Linked DNA regions of Drosophila melanogaster. The protein of the gene in region 3 interacts with the protein of the main gene of each other region in a biochemical or structural test. Each region holds a gene or a part of one and is shown on either strand. Other genes may lie near its edges.

The links. Proteins that work in one complex are often made in the same cells at the same time.
Region 1: the proteins of Acn (region 3) and Bin1 are reported together in a solved structure, tested with the Drosophila melanogaster proteins (one study listed by BioGRID).
Region 2: the proteins of Acn (region 3) and RnpS1 are reported together in a solved structure, tested with the Drosophila melanogaster proteins (one study listed by BioGRID).

What each region holds. Positions count from the first base shown.
Region 1 is NT_033777.3:16,185,630-16,191,303, reverse strand, and holds Bin1 (bicoid interacting protein 1), read left to right. Parts: upstream 1-1,739; 5' UTR 1,740-2,101; exon of another isoform or gene 2,102-4,197; 5' UTR 4,198-4,526; coding exon 4,527-4,592; intron 4,593-4,665; coding exon 4,666-5,052; 3' UTR 5,053-5,148; downstream 5,149-5,674. Other genes in the region: CG8927 (uncharacterized protein), read right to left, coding at 5,190-5,415, 5,478-5,674. UniProt on the Drosophila melanogaster protein: Involved in the tethering of the SIN3 complex to core histone proteins. Interacts with bicoid (bcd) to repress transcription of bicoid target genes in the anterior tip of the embryo; a process known as retraction.
Region 2 is NT_033777.3:9,550,176-9,554,273, reverse strand, and holds RnpS1 (RNA-binding protein S1), read right to left. Parts: upstream 2,241-4,098; 5' UTR 2,092-2,240; coding exon 2,090-2,091; intron 2,014-2,089; coding exon 1,852-2,013; intron 1,584-1,851; coding exon 623-1,583; 3' UTR 527-622; downstream 1-526. Other genes in the region: CG9386 (uncharacterized protein), read left to right, coding at 1-511.
Region 3 is NT_033779.5:19,043,617-19,049,317, forward strand, and holds Acn (acinus), read left to right. Parts: upstream 1-1,738; 5' UTR 1,739-1,950; coding exon 1,951-3,431; intron 3,432-3,535; coding exon 3,536-3,746; intron 3,747-3,803; coding exon 3,804-4,038; intron 4,039-4,099; coding exon 4,100-4,209; intron 4,210-4,297; coding exon 4,298-4,480; 3' UTR 4,481-5,201; downstream 5,202-5,701. Other genes in the region: Ttc19 (tetratricopeptide repeat domain 19), read right to left, coding at 4-267, 320-467, 538-701, 754-1,287; CG10470 (uncharacterized protein), read left to right, coding at 5,559-5,619, 5,671-5,701.

The DNA of each region.
Region 1 (5,674 bases), on a different chromosome or scaffold from region 3:
CCGTCTTGTCAGCGCTTTGACATGAAAATAGTTTGGGCCAACTTGGCTATGCAAAAGCGATTTCTATTAGGAGCCGCCATCGCCGACATGTGCTGCCGAAATTCGGTGATTTGGGTAGGATGAAGAGATTACCAAAAGTTTACAGTGGTTCTTGCTTCCAAGCAAGGAAGGAATTAAAATCCTGTTCAGCAAATATTCCAATAAATCGCTTTTAAGCAAGTGTTATCAGCAGTTCAATGTTGAGTTCAACCGGTTGAAACCCGCTGGTTATCGTAAATCATGGCCACGGTAGTTCCCTCGATTCGCTTCTTATCGCGACGACAGTCCCCACTGACGCACCAAATGGACGTATTTAGACTCCATAGATAACATTTGGCTATTGTTACTATGGTTAATTGAGACATTTACAACTCAAGTATACCTCAAGTCAAGCAGAACATACGTATGCGCGCATATACAGTCGAATGGAATCGACGTCGCTGCCAATCAGGCCGATGTGTTAAGTGAGTTAGGGGCACTTTTGCTTTTGGGACGTGACGTCAGTGCAAACTGCAGCTAGATCCAGTCAAGCCAATTGACGAAAGAGCCGACGGCAGCGGTCTGTACGTATTCAATTCATCAATTGGCAAAACCCTGGCAAAAAGGCAAGAAGATGGAAAACAAAACAAAAGCGAACGCAAACAGAAATAGCATAAAATGGACAACAGACGCGACAACACAGGCACCAATCGTAGGGGCAAAAATTATGAGTTGCTTTTATTTTAAAATCGTTTCATTTATTTTGCGTCAGCAGCGCCTCTCAATGAGGAAACGCTGCGTATACATAATTTTCTGGCCACATATACGCACTCCCATATCTTTCTCCCATCGATTCAGTGGTCGTTCGCAATCAAAGGCACAGACGAGTGATCTTTCCTTGGCCTTTTGCAGTCTCTTAAAGACGGGTTGTTTTCGAGTGTTTTTTGCAGCAGAATGGTAATCAGAATGCTCTCGGCAATTCTTTATTGAACGACCGTTCAATAAATTTCACAAAAGGAAATGTTATCAGCGGGTATTCTTAAAATAACTCAATCTTTAACAACTTATATTTGGAATCAATCACATCAACCCGTAATCAGATAACTGATAACATTTTAGAGGAAATAGTTTGTACCGGCACATTAACAAGTTAATGGTTTTGTTATTCGCCTTATCGTGAAATACTGTAAATAAATTTTTTAATTGCTTTTCGAAAGTAGTTGTTTACAACTTAATTTATCAGAGTGTTTTTGTTCTCCGCTCAGAATTAATCACGAAGTGGGGTGGTAATCCAGATTAACATAAGAAAAAAACAATTTTAAAATATAATATTAAGTCGCCATTATGCATGAGTAACAACTAACAAATTGCTATAAATAATAGGAGATAATCTTGAATACTGCTAGAAAGTGTAATACAATGTAAGGCAATTAAATGTGCAATAAAATCAATGTTATTATCAGCATGATTGTATATGTCGGAGCGCGACTCTTCGCATTCCAGAAATTCCTTCTGTGATTTCATATTCTGATGAAATTGTAATATTGCGGTAAAATTCTGTCGAGCGCTGCGGCAGAGGCACGAACAGCCTCTGCAGCTGAGTGAGGTCCGATCGAGTGGTCATAAATAGTGTGTTAGAGAGAGATGACAATGTGGCACACGCCAGTGTGTATAGCCATTAGAGAATATGATGAAGAAGGGACATGTAAGAAGATCCCTTCAGTGAAGTTTGACTGCTGACGTCGATCGGAACTTGCTGCGCTGACGTACAAAATCGCGAAGTGAATAAATAATATGGATGAGACTCCTGTTTCGCCGACATATACAATAGTGCTCAAGACCCTAATGGAATTATACGTTAATAACCAGCCACATTTCTTAGATATTTCTAATATGAGCCATCTGCTGCAGGTTCTTTCCAATATCTAATTCTAGATCTTCTTCGAATACGACCTTTTTGGCCATGAAACGATGATTTGCCACTTCATTCACAAGCATTAATTTGTCATGATTCTCTTAAGCGTGCACTTTATCTGAAAGTCTGAACAGCTGGCTGCGAAATGGATTCCCCGGATTGGAAATGGCAAGTAAATCTGTCCTCGCTACAAACAAGTGGGCACCACTGGGCATTCGGGGAATAGGGATATGGGTAGGAATGGGGATATATTGTGGCATTGGCGAAAGGTCGCTATGCAAAGCCAAGGTCGAGACTTACACCCAGGACATTGTGTTGTGCGGCTGGCAGTAGAAACGCCCACGCACACGCCCCTGTCAACTGGCCGGGTAAAAAATAGAATCAAATACATATGTATACAGAACAGGAGTTGAAGCAAAGCTCGCATTTTATTTGCATTTGTGAATTTATTGCTTTCGGTTACGTCTGCTTCGCCTTGCCACTTTTCCAAACTCGTTGTGCTGCTGCTTGGGGAATTTTCGGAAATTCGAAGTGATTGGGTTTGGAGCAGTAGCCAAGGGCTTCTACTGTTGCTCAAAGCAATTAATATTTGAGAAAAAATAACGAAAACGAAGTAAGGCGGCAGCAACAAAGCGACCGCAACAGTGGCAACAAATCGCCCCACACCGCACGTCTTCAGTTTACAACCAAGGACTTGGCACGTTTAAAATTCAGCCAGCAGCCGCAGCAACGAACACGGACAGTGGGCGGAATTTAATTTCGAAAAACATATTACTTTATTGTTCACATCTTTACCCACCTTCCGATTCGAGTACATACGATTCCACTGAAGCCACTGAAGACTTACTTCACTTAAAGTACATTTTCTTCAACTTCGTGGGGTCTTTCTAGAACTTAAGACTTATTCTAACTTAAAAAGACTATAAAGTTTTTAAACATTCCGTTGTTTTGTCAAATTTGAATAATTTACGAATGTGAATTTGTCGCAGAAGTATTGCTGAGTATTATCTTTATAAATTTTTCATTTTTTAAAGTGACTAAAGAAACAGCTTTAATGCGTCTTACTTCATATTGGTCATCCCGACCACAGTGCACTGGTTACCAAAGTATGCGATAACAATAACATCGTCCACTATGTGGTCGTTGCTGGGGTTACGGGCAGTCAGTCACGGTCACGGCTGCAACCCCTCCGCTCCGGCCAAAACGAGTCCACAGAACAATGGCCAAGGACGAAGGGGGGGGAGGGGGGATTCAATAACAACAGCAGGAACAACAAACATTCTGCTCCCACGCAAGAGCAGCAGGAACTGTGGCAAAAACAGCTGCTGCAGGATCAACGAGGTGGGAGTGGATTCGAGGACTTTAAAACACGAGCCAACTAAAAATATTCAGACACGCCGAAGCGAAAATACCCTTTAGCAGGGGGTTAATTCAAGTGGGGTATTTTCCCCTTCTAGTGTTTTTCTTTTACCAGGGTAATCACAGATTCTGTTTCTGTGCACTTAAACGGGGTTTATTCCGTTTCTAAAAATATCAAATGTCTGGATTGACTTATTTCTTGGTATTTGACTAAAAATAAAAACAAATATGCAGCTTTTGGGAAACTGATTCCTTGTTGACACAATAGAAACCACCATATGACCACACCTTCCACGCTACTGCAATAACTAGAACATTTAGAACAACAAACAGAATGGCACTATTATCGGCAAATGATGGCGCATGCATAAAAATGAGGAGATCGAAAGTGGGTGGCTGGGGATGGGATAACCTTGTACTTCTTGAGATAAAAACAGTTCAGTATTTAGCAGCGGCTTATTCCTGAATGTTTATAAACAAATCGAGCGAGAGAGCGATGCATAAATGAAATATGAGGGGGGGTGAAGGGTGGTTGCAAAGAGGGTGACTTTTCGCAGACGCTGCGGCACCAACACAAGCAAAGCAACGGCAACAATTTGCACGTAAAACTCAGCTGCTGCTGCTGCTGCTGTTGCCGTTACATAAGAAACTCTTGCAAAAAGTGCAAATCTCAATTCGGTATGCAAATGGACCGCTGCCACAATGTACTCACCGTTTTTAGAAACTATTCAGTGGCCAAATTGCGATTCTGCTTTTATGCGCCAATAACAAACGGCTCTTCTCCACCGTTGTTGTTGCTCTCCTCCTTGTTGTTGTGGTCGCAGCTACTGCTTAGCGAAGCAGTTGTTATTGTTGTTGCGGCAACAGTAATTTGCAAGTGCACCGCTATTGTTGAATGTTTTTAGACGATTGTCATGCCAGTGGAAGCTTCCAGTCTGCGTCATTCGCGGAGACGCGTAGTTTCACGTTCGACGACACAACCGCTCACAGCGAATTTTGTTTTCGGACTAGAGCTGAGAAACGGCGAATTTTGGTGCTTCTGGAAACATCGATTAAACTAAAACCCGATAAGTATGCGACAAGCGGTCACACTCGGCGATGTGCGATAGGATTGCTGCATTCGATTATATAGTTATCGAAAAGAGCAAAGAGAAGCCGGAATATACGGCATTAAAAGTGCATTTTGTATTAAAATTAAGAAAATTAGTAACGATATACCGCAGAATAGGGAGACATGGCCAACGTGGAATCTATGATTGTGGAGGAAAAGACGCAGGTCAAGCAGATTGACCGCGAGAAGGTTTGTTTGTGACCCCGGTCATGTTTACTTCGCGTTTGCTCTAGATGTGTTAATAAGTTTATGTATTTTCCAGACCTGTCCTATGCTGCTCCGTGTCTTCTGCTCTACGGGACGACACCACTCCGTGTCGGAGTATATGTTCGGCAACGTGCCCACCAACGAGCTTCAGATTTACACCTGGCAAGACGCCACCCTGCACGAACTGACCTCTCTGGTGCGAGACGTCAATCCGGACACCCGGAAGAAGGGCACCTACTTTGACTTTGCTGTCGTGTACCCCAACTTCCGGAGTAATCACTTCCAGATGCGCGAAATCGGAGTGACCTGCACGGGTCAAAAAGGAATCGATGATAATAAGACACTTGCTCAGGCCAAATTCAGCATTGGAGACTTTCTGGACATCTCGATTACTCCGCCCAACCGACTGCCGCCAACCGCCAGGCGCCAGCGTCCGTACTGATTCTTCACTTTCATCTATTCTAATCATTTTAATCTTTCACTTGACACTCAATGGAGTATGAACATAATTATAAGTGGAATACAAGTAAGACGAACTACGAGCTGCTTGACTTAAGGGACTATATGTTGTGGGGAGTATCAGTTCCTGTAAAAGCCGTTCGGGCGCTTCGACTTCTTCTTGCCCAACTGCGTCATGTCGATCTCCAGACCATTGGGCAGCACGGCGCGATTCTCTTCGTAGTTGACGAACCCGTTCTCTTGTAGCTCTTCCTCGTTGTTGCGGTTGTTAGGATCGCACTTGATTCCAGTCTCATAGTGGTACTCACGTTTGTTGCCATCTGGATCAACGTAGCCATAGGTTCCCCTGGTGAACGAGAAGTTTGGGTAAGTGGGAGAAAGAGGTTGGATTCAATCTGTTTTACTCACTTGGTGATGCAATCGGTGCCGATCAGCTCCTCCTTGAAAGATCCGTCGTCGTTCTCATAGCCCCATGTGATGCTTCCGTCCTCGTTTTCCTCACGCCACTTGCGAATGGTCTGGGAAACGGGCTGACGGCGACGCTGCTGCTGCTGGTCAACGTGATCGTCCTGTAGCTGATTTTGATCAATGATGGGACGCGGCTG
Region 2 (4,098 bases), on a different chromosome or scaffold from region 3:
AAGCACCAAGCGATTGGCTCTGCTGGGAATTAAGAGAAAAGCCTCAAAGGCTATTGAAGATCTGGAGTACTTTGTCCAAGAAGAGCTAAGAAAGTATAAGACCGGAGATGCCAAAATTAAGCTGCGCGAGAAGGAGGAGAGCGTTCGAAATTGCACGCAGGTGGATAAGACCATAATTGATGGTCTAGTGTTTAAGATCTTCAAACTGATTCTGGACTCTAACGAAGATAAATGGTCTGGTCGTCTGCCCATGAGAGAGATTGCCCAGGCTCTCACCAAGGAGGAGCTGAGTGGCATTAAATCCGAGTGCGGCGGCATCAAAACATTGCTGCGCAATAAACACGAAGTTTTCGAATTCTGCGGTGGTGATCTCATAGGAATAAGAACCCCTAAACCAACGGCTACTCTCCCCAAATCCCATTTGACCATCAAGAAACGTAGCTGCTTTTTCAAGCTTCATCATCCGCTGGGATGTCCTCTCGATGATGCTGAGTGCTCGTTTATACACTAAGCTAACTCTCTATGTGTGTGGTATTTGCTCACCTTTATTATTTGGATTATAATATAAAGAAAAGTGCAATAATCGTGTCAATTGTAGAAACTAGGAGTCGATCAGTGTCCTCTAACGAGAGCTGTCACTGCTATTGCTGCGGCGTCGACGACGAATGGGGGAGCGGGAGCGACGCCGTGGTGAACGCCGGTTCCTCATGGGTGACTGACGACGTCCGCCGCCGCCGCCACCACCTCCTCCACGATTGTTGAACCTATTGAACTGGGGTGGGGATCGCCAGCGGTTGTTTTGCGGACGGCGCATCGGTGGCGAAGGACGACGCATGGGCGGCCTCTGTTTTACTAAGACAACCGGGGATACCGTAATCTCCTGGCCATCTATCTGCCCGCCATCCATATGCTTCATGGCCGACTCACAATCCTCGGGTGTGGCATATTCCACAAACGCCACGCCGCGTCCGAAGTTAGGATGAAAACGATCTACGGGAAACTCCACATTCTTCACATCCCCAAAGCTGCTAAATATCTCGAACACATGGTCCTTGGTAACGTTGCGGGTAAGCCGACCGACATGAATGCGCACCTGTTTGGGCGAAGGCGAGCGAGTCCGCGAACGGGAGCGCTCCCTTCGCTTCGGTGGCGGCGTCCTCTCAACGGAGCCGCGACCACGACGGCGTGGCGATCGTGAACGACTGGCTGAGCGAGAACGCTCCCGCTTAACATTATTGCTATCGGCGGCTGCCCTATCGTTGGATCCAGCACGGCGGGCACGATCCCTCGACCGACTACGACGATCGCGATCTCGCTCCGGCTCTTTTCGCGCCTTGCTGCCCGGTCTTGGAGATTTGGAGACACGCCTGGGGGAACGGGTGCGAGAGCGGGAACGTGATCGGGCGCTGGGCTTATCCTTGTCTTTGTCTTTGCCAGCAGCGCCGCCGCCACGTCTTCGGTTCTTCTCGCTGCGATCCGAATCGCTGGACGACGATGATGAGGAGCTCGAGGAGTCGCTGGAGCTGCTTGAGCTGGAACGCGATGACCCGGAACTGCTCCGCGAAGAGCTGCTGTCCGATGTGCTGGAAAAAGTGAAGTGTTTTATTTACTTCTCGTAACCAAGAAAACGGCAATGAAGCTGGTACAAAGTAAAACACTTCCTAACTGTGATGAAATTTTACCATATATGGTATGTGAATTTTTACAAAATCTTTTCGCTCGAAGGCTATTTTCTTCCCGTACTATCTGCTACGTTTTACAGAAGAAGAAGGACTTCCTTTTAAAAGTAACCCTTATTCCGGTTGGCAGATGGCAGCCATTTGTGGGAAAGACCTTTGCCGGCTGATTTACCTGCTTCTGGAGTCGCTGCTGGAGGACGCCGATCCGCGGCGTTTGCGTTCGCGGTCCCTGCGCGAGGAGCCGCTGGTCGCCTTGCCGTCCTTCTCTTTGGCGACCTTCTCCTTGTTGTCCTTTTCCTTCTCACCCTCGCCGGCGAGACTCTGGGCACGCGCCCTGTTTTTTTTTATTTGTCGAGAAAAGCGAGCTGTTTTAGACCATTTAGGGAGCAAAATGTGGTGCAGATACTTACATTTTCGTATTGCCGATTTGTTAAACGATTAGTTTTATAGTACCGCACACTCTTTTAGGTGCAAGCTAAAATGTTTTTATTAATAAATCTTGTTTTTCTCAACTAGAGTTAAATGCGAGTAGCGTTTTCAGTGGAGATTAGTGTGGCCGTGTTTGTGAACGTGTAAATATGACAAAAAAATAGAATACACACTTATTAAAATAAAATCCAGTTCCTTTACTTTGCTATTAAAAAACTGTTTTGCGAATATTAAGAAGCATTTTTAGTTAAATATAAATAAATTTCTTTTATAATATGCTTAAATCTCAAATTCTAGTATACAAATGTTTCTAGAGTATTTGGGATTAAGATAACAGACACCACTTGGTAATTTCTCACAGTCTCGCCGCGGCCACACTCTTTGTCAGGTCGAACCCAAGGTAAACTCCCATAAAGCGTAAAAATTTAAGACCTTTCCTGCCTAGCAATTTGGACTCGATAGGAAGTAATAATGTATACCGTGTAATATGAATAGTGCTTGTTTTCGTAACGTACGAATGTAGTGGAATTACATAAAACGCAATTGATTTAAGGCCAGCACTTTTTTATCTGCTGGTGACGAAGTGGTTGTCATTGTGAGTTCACATCCGTGTGCCTGTATGTGTGTGAACTTGTGTTGATTTTGTCCATGCGAGCAAGCGAGATAGCAAAAGGGGGCCGCGGGGGCTGGCCACAGCCACAGAGTTTCGATTTTCCATCCATATATCTACACTCGCAGCGGAAACGAGAGAGAGAAAGAGAGTGTGAGAGAGAGGAGCGCCCCGTCTGGTCTGGGCACATTTTACCACACTGCGTCTTTGTCTGCCGTCGAGTCGGGAGCTCCGCGTCTGGTGTGTAGTATTATTATTCTTAATATTTCGGATTACTCTGCCTGTAGCTCAATAGCAATATTAAAACCCCGCCCCGAATGCTTTGCGTTGAAAAACATATCTTAGTGTGTGTGTGAGTGCAAAGTGCAGTTATGTTGTGGCAGCAGTCAATGCAAATTAACCAGTGTCTATACCTCAAAGGCACATTTTTTTAGCCCCATCATCGTGTTTTGAAACGCCACAGCGCAGCGTAATTGCCAAAAACCAGCTAGCCAACAAGAGTTTCGTTGGTATACATATCCATATATTCATATAATCAATGTGTGTAAAGAAAACGAAACTAAGAAAAGCGAAAAAGAGCATTCGATGAAGTTGACTGTCATGACTACGCAATAGCAACAACAATAGGAGCTGCCAACAGACACATGTATGCACAGTAGGTGGGTCCTCTCACGTGCTCTCAGTGCCGCTCTCTGCTCTCCCTCTCTCGGTTTCTTTGTGCATCGGTGTGAGTGTGTATGTGTGTTGGGGTCCGGACTCCATGGAAAAAGCGAATATTTTGATGCCTGCTTCCTTGTGTGTATATGCGTATATTTTTTATAATTTATTGTTTTAATTTTGAGAGGGCGTAGTGTGACCCCAACTCGAACACCGACCCTGCCCAAGTATGCATAGAAGAACGCGCACACACATTTGTGGTCAAAATAATAGTTAAATTACGGAAATGTAGTCTATTTACAATGTTGAAGGAGAGCACCGAAGAGGTCGCTCTTTATATACATACATACATACATAAGTATATGTTATCGCTGCATTAAGTCTTATAATCTATGTTTAGAAATGCACTTATCTTATCTTTATAATAATATTTACCACAAATACCCTGATCAAAGAGGGGTTTTATGCCGTGACACAGTCGTTATACGAAGAGGGTGCTTCCAAAATCTTAGTGCTTCCATTTTAAAAGCATCGAAATTTATGTTATGAAAAGAAAAAGAACTTCTTATGCTAAGAATATATCACTATATAATTGCGGAGAATATCTTTGGGGTACAAATTATAGAATTCCATTATATAATATATATAATATTATATAATATATATAATATTTCTACTTAAATGTCTGTTTTAAGCAACACTAACCTTCTTCTTAGAAGAAAC
Region 3 (5,701 bases):
TCCTCACTGGCGCTTCTCTCCATTCAGGGTTGTCTTTATCTCGTTGAGACAATACTCGGCCTGCTCTACGGCATCGGGATTCTGGTGTTGCTTTCCCAGTTTCCACGCCAGTCGGCAAGCGTTCTCCGCCTGCGACATCAGGCCCTCGCGAAGATACACCAAACCCAGATTTGCCTGCAGAATGCCTTCCTGGGTGGCATCCTTTAGCTCCTTAGTCAGCTCCATGGCCTCCAAAAGGGTCTCCCTTGCCTCGGCGTACTTTTCCAGCTGTAATTAGTCTAATGTGTTTCAAGTACTTTGGAAGAATAGACGCACCTACGTTTACGTACGCCACACTGATGTTATTTAGGATGGTTACAGAGGCGTCGTTAACGGCACCATAAACATTTATGAGCGTGTCGAAGGCCTCCTTAAAGAGGTTTTTAGCCTCCAGGTATTTTCCCTGCTTCATCAGCAGCTGCCCGAACCTGGAAAATAAACATAAGGAAAAGTATTGAAAAAAGGCTTGGTTAGCGGCAATGGAAACACCTTCAATACCAATTCTTTGTCAAGCCATACAGCTCCAGTATGTCCTTGTCGTCGGGCATTTTCTCCAGTAGCTTAGCCAACTGCTGCAAGGTCCAAGTGAACCCTTGAAAGCTCTTTTCCAGATCCCCTTGCAGCTGAGACATGTGTGCTATCTTGGAGCTGATGTGAAGTATCTAAAGATGAAAGAGATCTTAACTGGTTATGGTGTCTAAGTGGGTCACCCACCTTGGGACTCTCTTCGGTGTGACCCTCGGCAAAAAGCCGTTTCATAACGTCCGTGAATATCTTCTCCGCCTTCTTAAACTGCTCGCGTTCCATGGCCAAATTGGCCATCAGATCAAACACATATGTGATGCCGTCCTTGCTCTGAATATCCTGCGCCATTCGCAGAGCCAGGTGAAGCATTTGCTCGGCCTTGTCGTACTGTTCCCTCTGAATGCACAGGATTGATCGTTTGATGGTCTTGATCAGTTTTTCCTCCGGAGTTTCCTCTTTTTCGTCGGCGCCACCAAACAGATTCAGAGTGAAAGCAGCGGAAAATGCCCAAAACATTCCACCGGAAGAGCCAGAAGCGGGCGGAGCTGCCCAGGACACCTCGTAGCCCGCAGCATTGGAGCACAGCGGTCGACATCCGAATTCTGACCGTTGGTGATAACGGCTTCTCTTCAGCGGCGCAAGATGACAGTAATCTCTGGGATTCACGACAACGCGGAACCTGCCCATAACTTGCGTAAACTTGCAAATATTTCTCACTAACATGTTTAGGGCTTTATTAATTATTTAACTAAAACCTATAATGTTGCAGGTATGGTATTAAAAATTATGAAATAGCACGTATGTAGTGTTGCAAAGCGCGGTAAAGACGTTTTAAAAGTACATTTCGTAACGCTTGATTAAGAACATAGAAGACTTTTAAATAATTTCTACTCTATCATACTTTCGCAAATATATTTATGTTTCGTTAAGATTTCGTAAACAAAGGTTTTTAAATTTTTTAGAGATGACACTGTCAAACAAAACTTTATCGGCAACTTTGGTACCTAACATTTCGTTCATAAGTTAAATCTGCGAACAAAAATAAATTGATAAGTAGAGTTATTAACAATCTCGAATAAAAAACATTTAAGTACATTTGATAAAGTTTTTCGTAATAAGGTACTTCCTTCCCCCATCGCATACGATACTATCGATAGCCGTCAGCGGGGCGATAGACCGAGAGAAAGCATCCCTGTATATTGATGGCGGATTGACGCTCTTTCGCCTAGTAAAATTATTTTTCTTATCAAGAAAAGGTGCAGAATATAACGAGGAGTGAATTCGCAAAGCAGTGCATGAAATAGCTGTGGGTCCGCCGGCTGTACCTACGTTTTATTTCAGATCTTTCCAGCGTCGCAGCGAGTTTCCAGCGATTTTCGGACAGCCATGAGACGTCGCAGCGAGCGAAAAAAGTCGTCGTCGCCCGCTCCGGTGCCGGTGGCAGTTGCACGGAGAAGTCGCCGCTCCCGCAAGGTGTCGGAGAACGAGAAGACCGAGGTCGAGACTCCGGTCGTGGCCCAAAATAATGAGGCCGAATGCCCCAAAGTACCGCCAGCCTCTCAAGAAATCAATGAGGCGCGGGCATCCAGTGAAGAACGTGCCGGATCTGGAGCATCGCCAGTGCGCAGGAGTCGCGGCAGCCGGACGACGCCTAGAAAGCGCACGGAGTCCAAGGGCGGCGACAAGAAGGTGGACACCATACCCGAGGAGGAGCCGGAGAATGGAAAGGATGTTGAAAAGGACGCTGTCGAGGAGGAAAAGACTGTAGCGCCACCCGCGGCTAATGAGAGCGAGTCCGAGGACCGTGCCAAGACGGAGGATCAGCAGGCTCAAGACGATGAATCCTGTGCTGAACCCGCTGTAGTCAAGGATGATGATGTTGAGAAAGAGGACTTAAAACCGCAGCAGGAGGTCCCCACTTCCACTGATGATGACACCAAGCAGAGCGAGCCAGAACAAGAGGTAAAGGTTCCTTCTCCTTCCAGCAAGGATGAGGAACATCTAAAAACGACTAGTGATGTATTAGACATTCAGACAGAAGAGGTCGATGAAAGGGACGAAGAAGCCTCCGCTCCTGCGGAGCGCAGAGAAACCAAGAAGAGGCACAAGGAGCAGATAAAGGAACAGCAACCCGCAGAGGAGGAGGAACACAAGGAAAACCACAAGCAGATAGACGAAAACCCAGAACAAATTCACGATGAACCAGCAGATCTTTCGAACGACAAGCACGATCCATGTCTAAACAGCAGCGCAACCAACACAACCGGTGCTCCAGTTCTGCAGCAACAACGGTCGGTGCGGAAGCGAAAGTGGCTGACTAACAAAAAGTCTTCGGATCGTACCCCGCCCGTGCTTGCCATTTCGACGGATTCCCTGAAGAACATTATAGCCGATGTGGTGCAGCCAGTGCCCCTAAGCGATGTGCAACTGGAATCGTCCTCAGAGGAGGAAGGCCTGGTCACCAGCGATCGCGATTCAGAGCGATCTGCTTCACCGGCGCCCCCATCTGAAGCAAGCAAAGACCGCGATAACAAGGGCAATACCGCCAACACCTGCGACACCACCGCAGAGGCGTCGGCAGATAATGAAGGAGCAGGAGCCGCTCCTCCAGCAGCAGCAGACACGGTTTCAGCCCAGGTCAGCCTGAGCAAAGCCACAGTTTCCACGGCAGCACCACACATAGTCCGTGACCCTAGTCCTGCTCGAAACCGCGCCAGCCACGTGCTCTATATCACCAATTTGGTACGCCCCTTCACAGTGCTGCAGCTGAAAGGCCTGCTGGCGCGGACGGGAAAGATCGTTGAGGAAGATGGTTTCTGGATAGATCGGATCAAGTCTAAGTGCTATGTTGCCTATTCCACTGAAGAGTAAGTATTGTAGTTGCGCAAATAGAACCTAATCTCCAGGGAGTCAGTGAAATATGCCTATAAAAAACTCACACTTGCAATTATTTTGCTTTTCAACCTTTAAGCGAGGCCATCGAAACCCGACATGCCCTGCACGGAGTTCGCTGGCCAGTGTCAAATCCCAAATGTTTGAATGTAGATTTTGGCAGTCGCACTGATATGGATCGGGCAATACTTTCAACGAAGGACGAGGCTCCGAGGTACGGGCAGGAAAACACCAGAGATAACCAGCAGTCGGGCAACGCTTGGTCCCGGTTGGAACCGTCTGACAAAAAAGTAATGGATTATTATCACAGCATAGAAATGCGGAGCTAACTTGTCTTTTTCCTTCAGCCTGCGCGACCTGTACGCGAATGGGATGTTGGCAAAAAGGAACCAAGCGACCACGACAAACACAGCAACGACAGGCGTCGGGACAGCAAGGATCGACTGGACTCGAGGTCTAGGGATGCGGAGCGAGCCGGACAGGAACGAAAGCGTTCTAGGGACAGAGAGGGGCGAGGACGCGATCGGGAGCGGGAGCGACTTGATCGCAATGCACATGCAAGGAGCCGCAGTGGATCGCCAGGTAAAGCCCGTGGGATACATTTTCCTGTCATGAGAAATTCAAAAACACCCCGTTTAAATAGCGTCCAAAACTAAGAAGGAGAATGAACCGCCTATCAGACTACTAGATGATCTATTTCGAAAAACCAAGGGAACACCTTGCATATACTGGCTGCCACTTACGCCGGAAGCGGTAAGTTGCTGAGATAAATAGTTCCAATCAACGAGAATCACTTCTAGACCAAGTCCGCCTGAACAATAAAATTTCTTCCGGCTTTCAGATCGCAGAAAAGGAGGCATTCCGTCAGAAACGCATTGAGGAGCACAAGCTGCGTATTAAGGAACGGGAGGAGCGCCAGAAAGAGCGGGAGAAGGATCGTGACCGCCAGCGCGAGACGCGTCGCAATCGTTCCAACGAACGGCGACGATCTCGCAGTCGCGAGCGGGAGCGAAGACGTTACTAGGCGGAGGCTTGAGATTGAGCAAATAAATGTTGATATCTCAAAAACTAAATCAACATATAAAAAAAAACTTCAAGAAACAGCAACTAAAACTTCAGCAGGGTCTCATCACCACCCGAATAATTTCAATTCTTTTCTTTCGAGCGTTTTGCGTTCCCAATTAGGCCGACGTTTGTAATATTCAACTTGAACTGAACCGACTTCAAATTGAATACTTTCGCCAACGTCTCATCCACATTCTGATTTTGAGATTTCAAACTCTCTTTTCTTCGTTATTTTTCTCATTGTTGTTGTTCCATATATATATAGCATATATATTTCCATATATATATATATAACCTGATTTGATTTCTTTCCTCAAATGTAGCATTTTACAGCGCCTAACGTCACCTCACCCCAAAACGAAACCACAGCAACCAGAAATGCGCCGGCATCAGATCAGCATCAACGCCATGGAAACTTACCATCGGACTCTTGAAACTACTGCAGCAAGTTACCATGCTTATATCTATTCAATAAACAAACATAAAATAATTGATTAAAATATTGTAAAATCAAATATTTCTTAAAATTTTAATGAACTTAGAAATACAATTTAACATCAGTCGGCAAGCTTGTGACAATGCCAAAACCCAAAAATGTGTTTTAAATGTCTGAGAAATATGCTTATCGCACGACTTATTCGAACAGAAAAAGAAAAGAATGTAATTCCTCAAAATTATAGAAAATGTTTTTGATTCGTAAGAATCATGGTATTTAGAGCATATTATTATAATTTTAATACTCTTTAATTTATATATAAGGTCAGATTTATAAAGTATGAACTTTTTGCCATTTATTTACTTTTCCTTATCAATTTTTAGTAAAAACACTGCTTTTATTAATAATCGCGAGTCTAATTTATTGATTAAACTTAAAAAAGAATAAATGAAGTTGTCCGTTAAAGTACCAGAATACCCCCAACAATAAGTTCGTTTTAATCGATAGTCCATGTTAATAAGCTATCGGAGCCGCTTAATGATTTATGTCAATAGTGCTATCGATGAGTTTTAATTTGTATTAACATTAATTTAGTGAAAAAATGTGGTCCGACACAATATTAATTGTTTTTATATCGGTTTGCACCGCCTTCCTGGGCGAAGGTAAGTAAAACGCCAGTTAATTTAGTTAACCCTACATATTTGTTTGCCTAGGTCTTACATGGGTGATGGTTTACCGGACGGA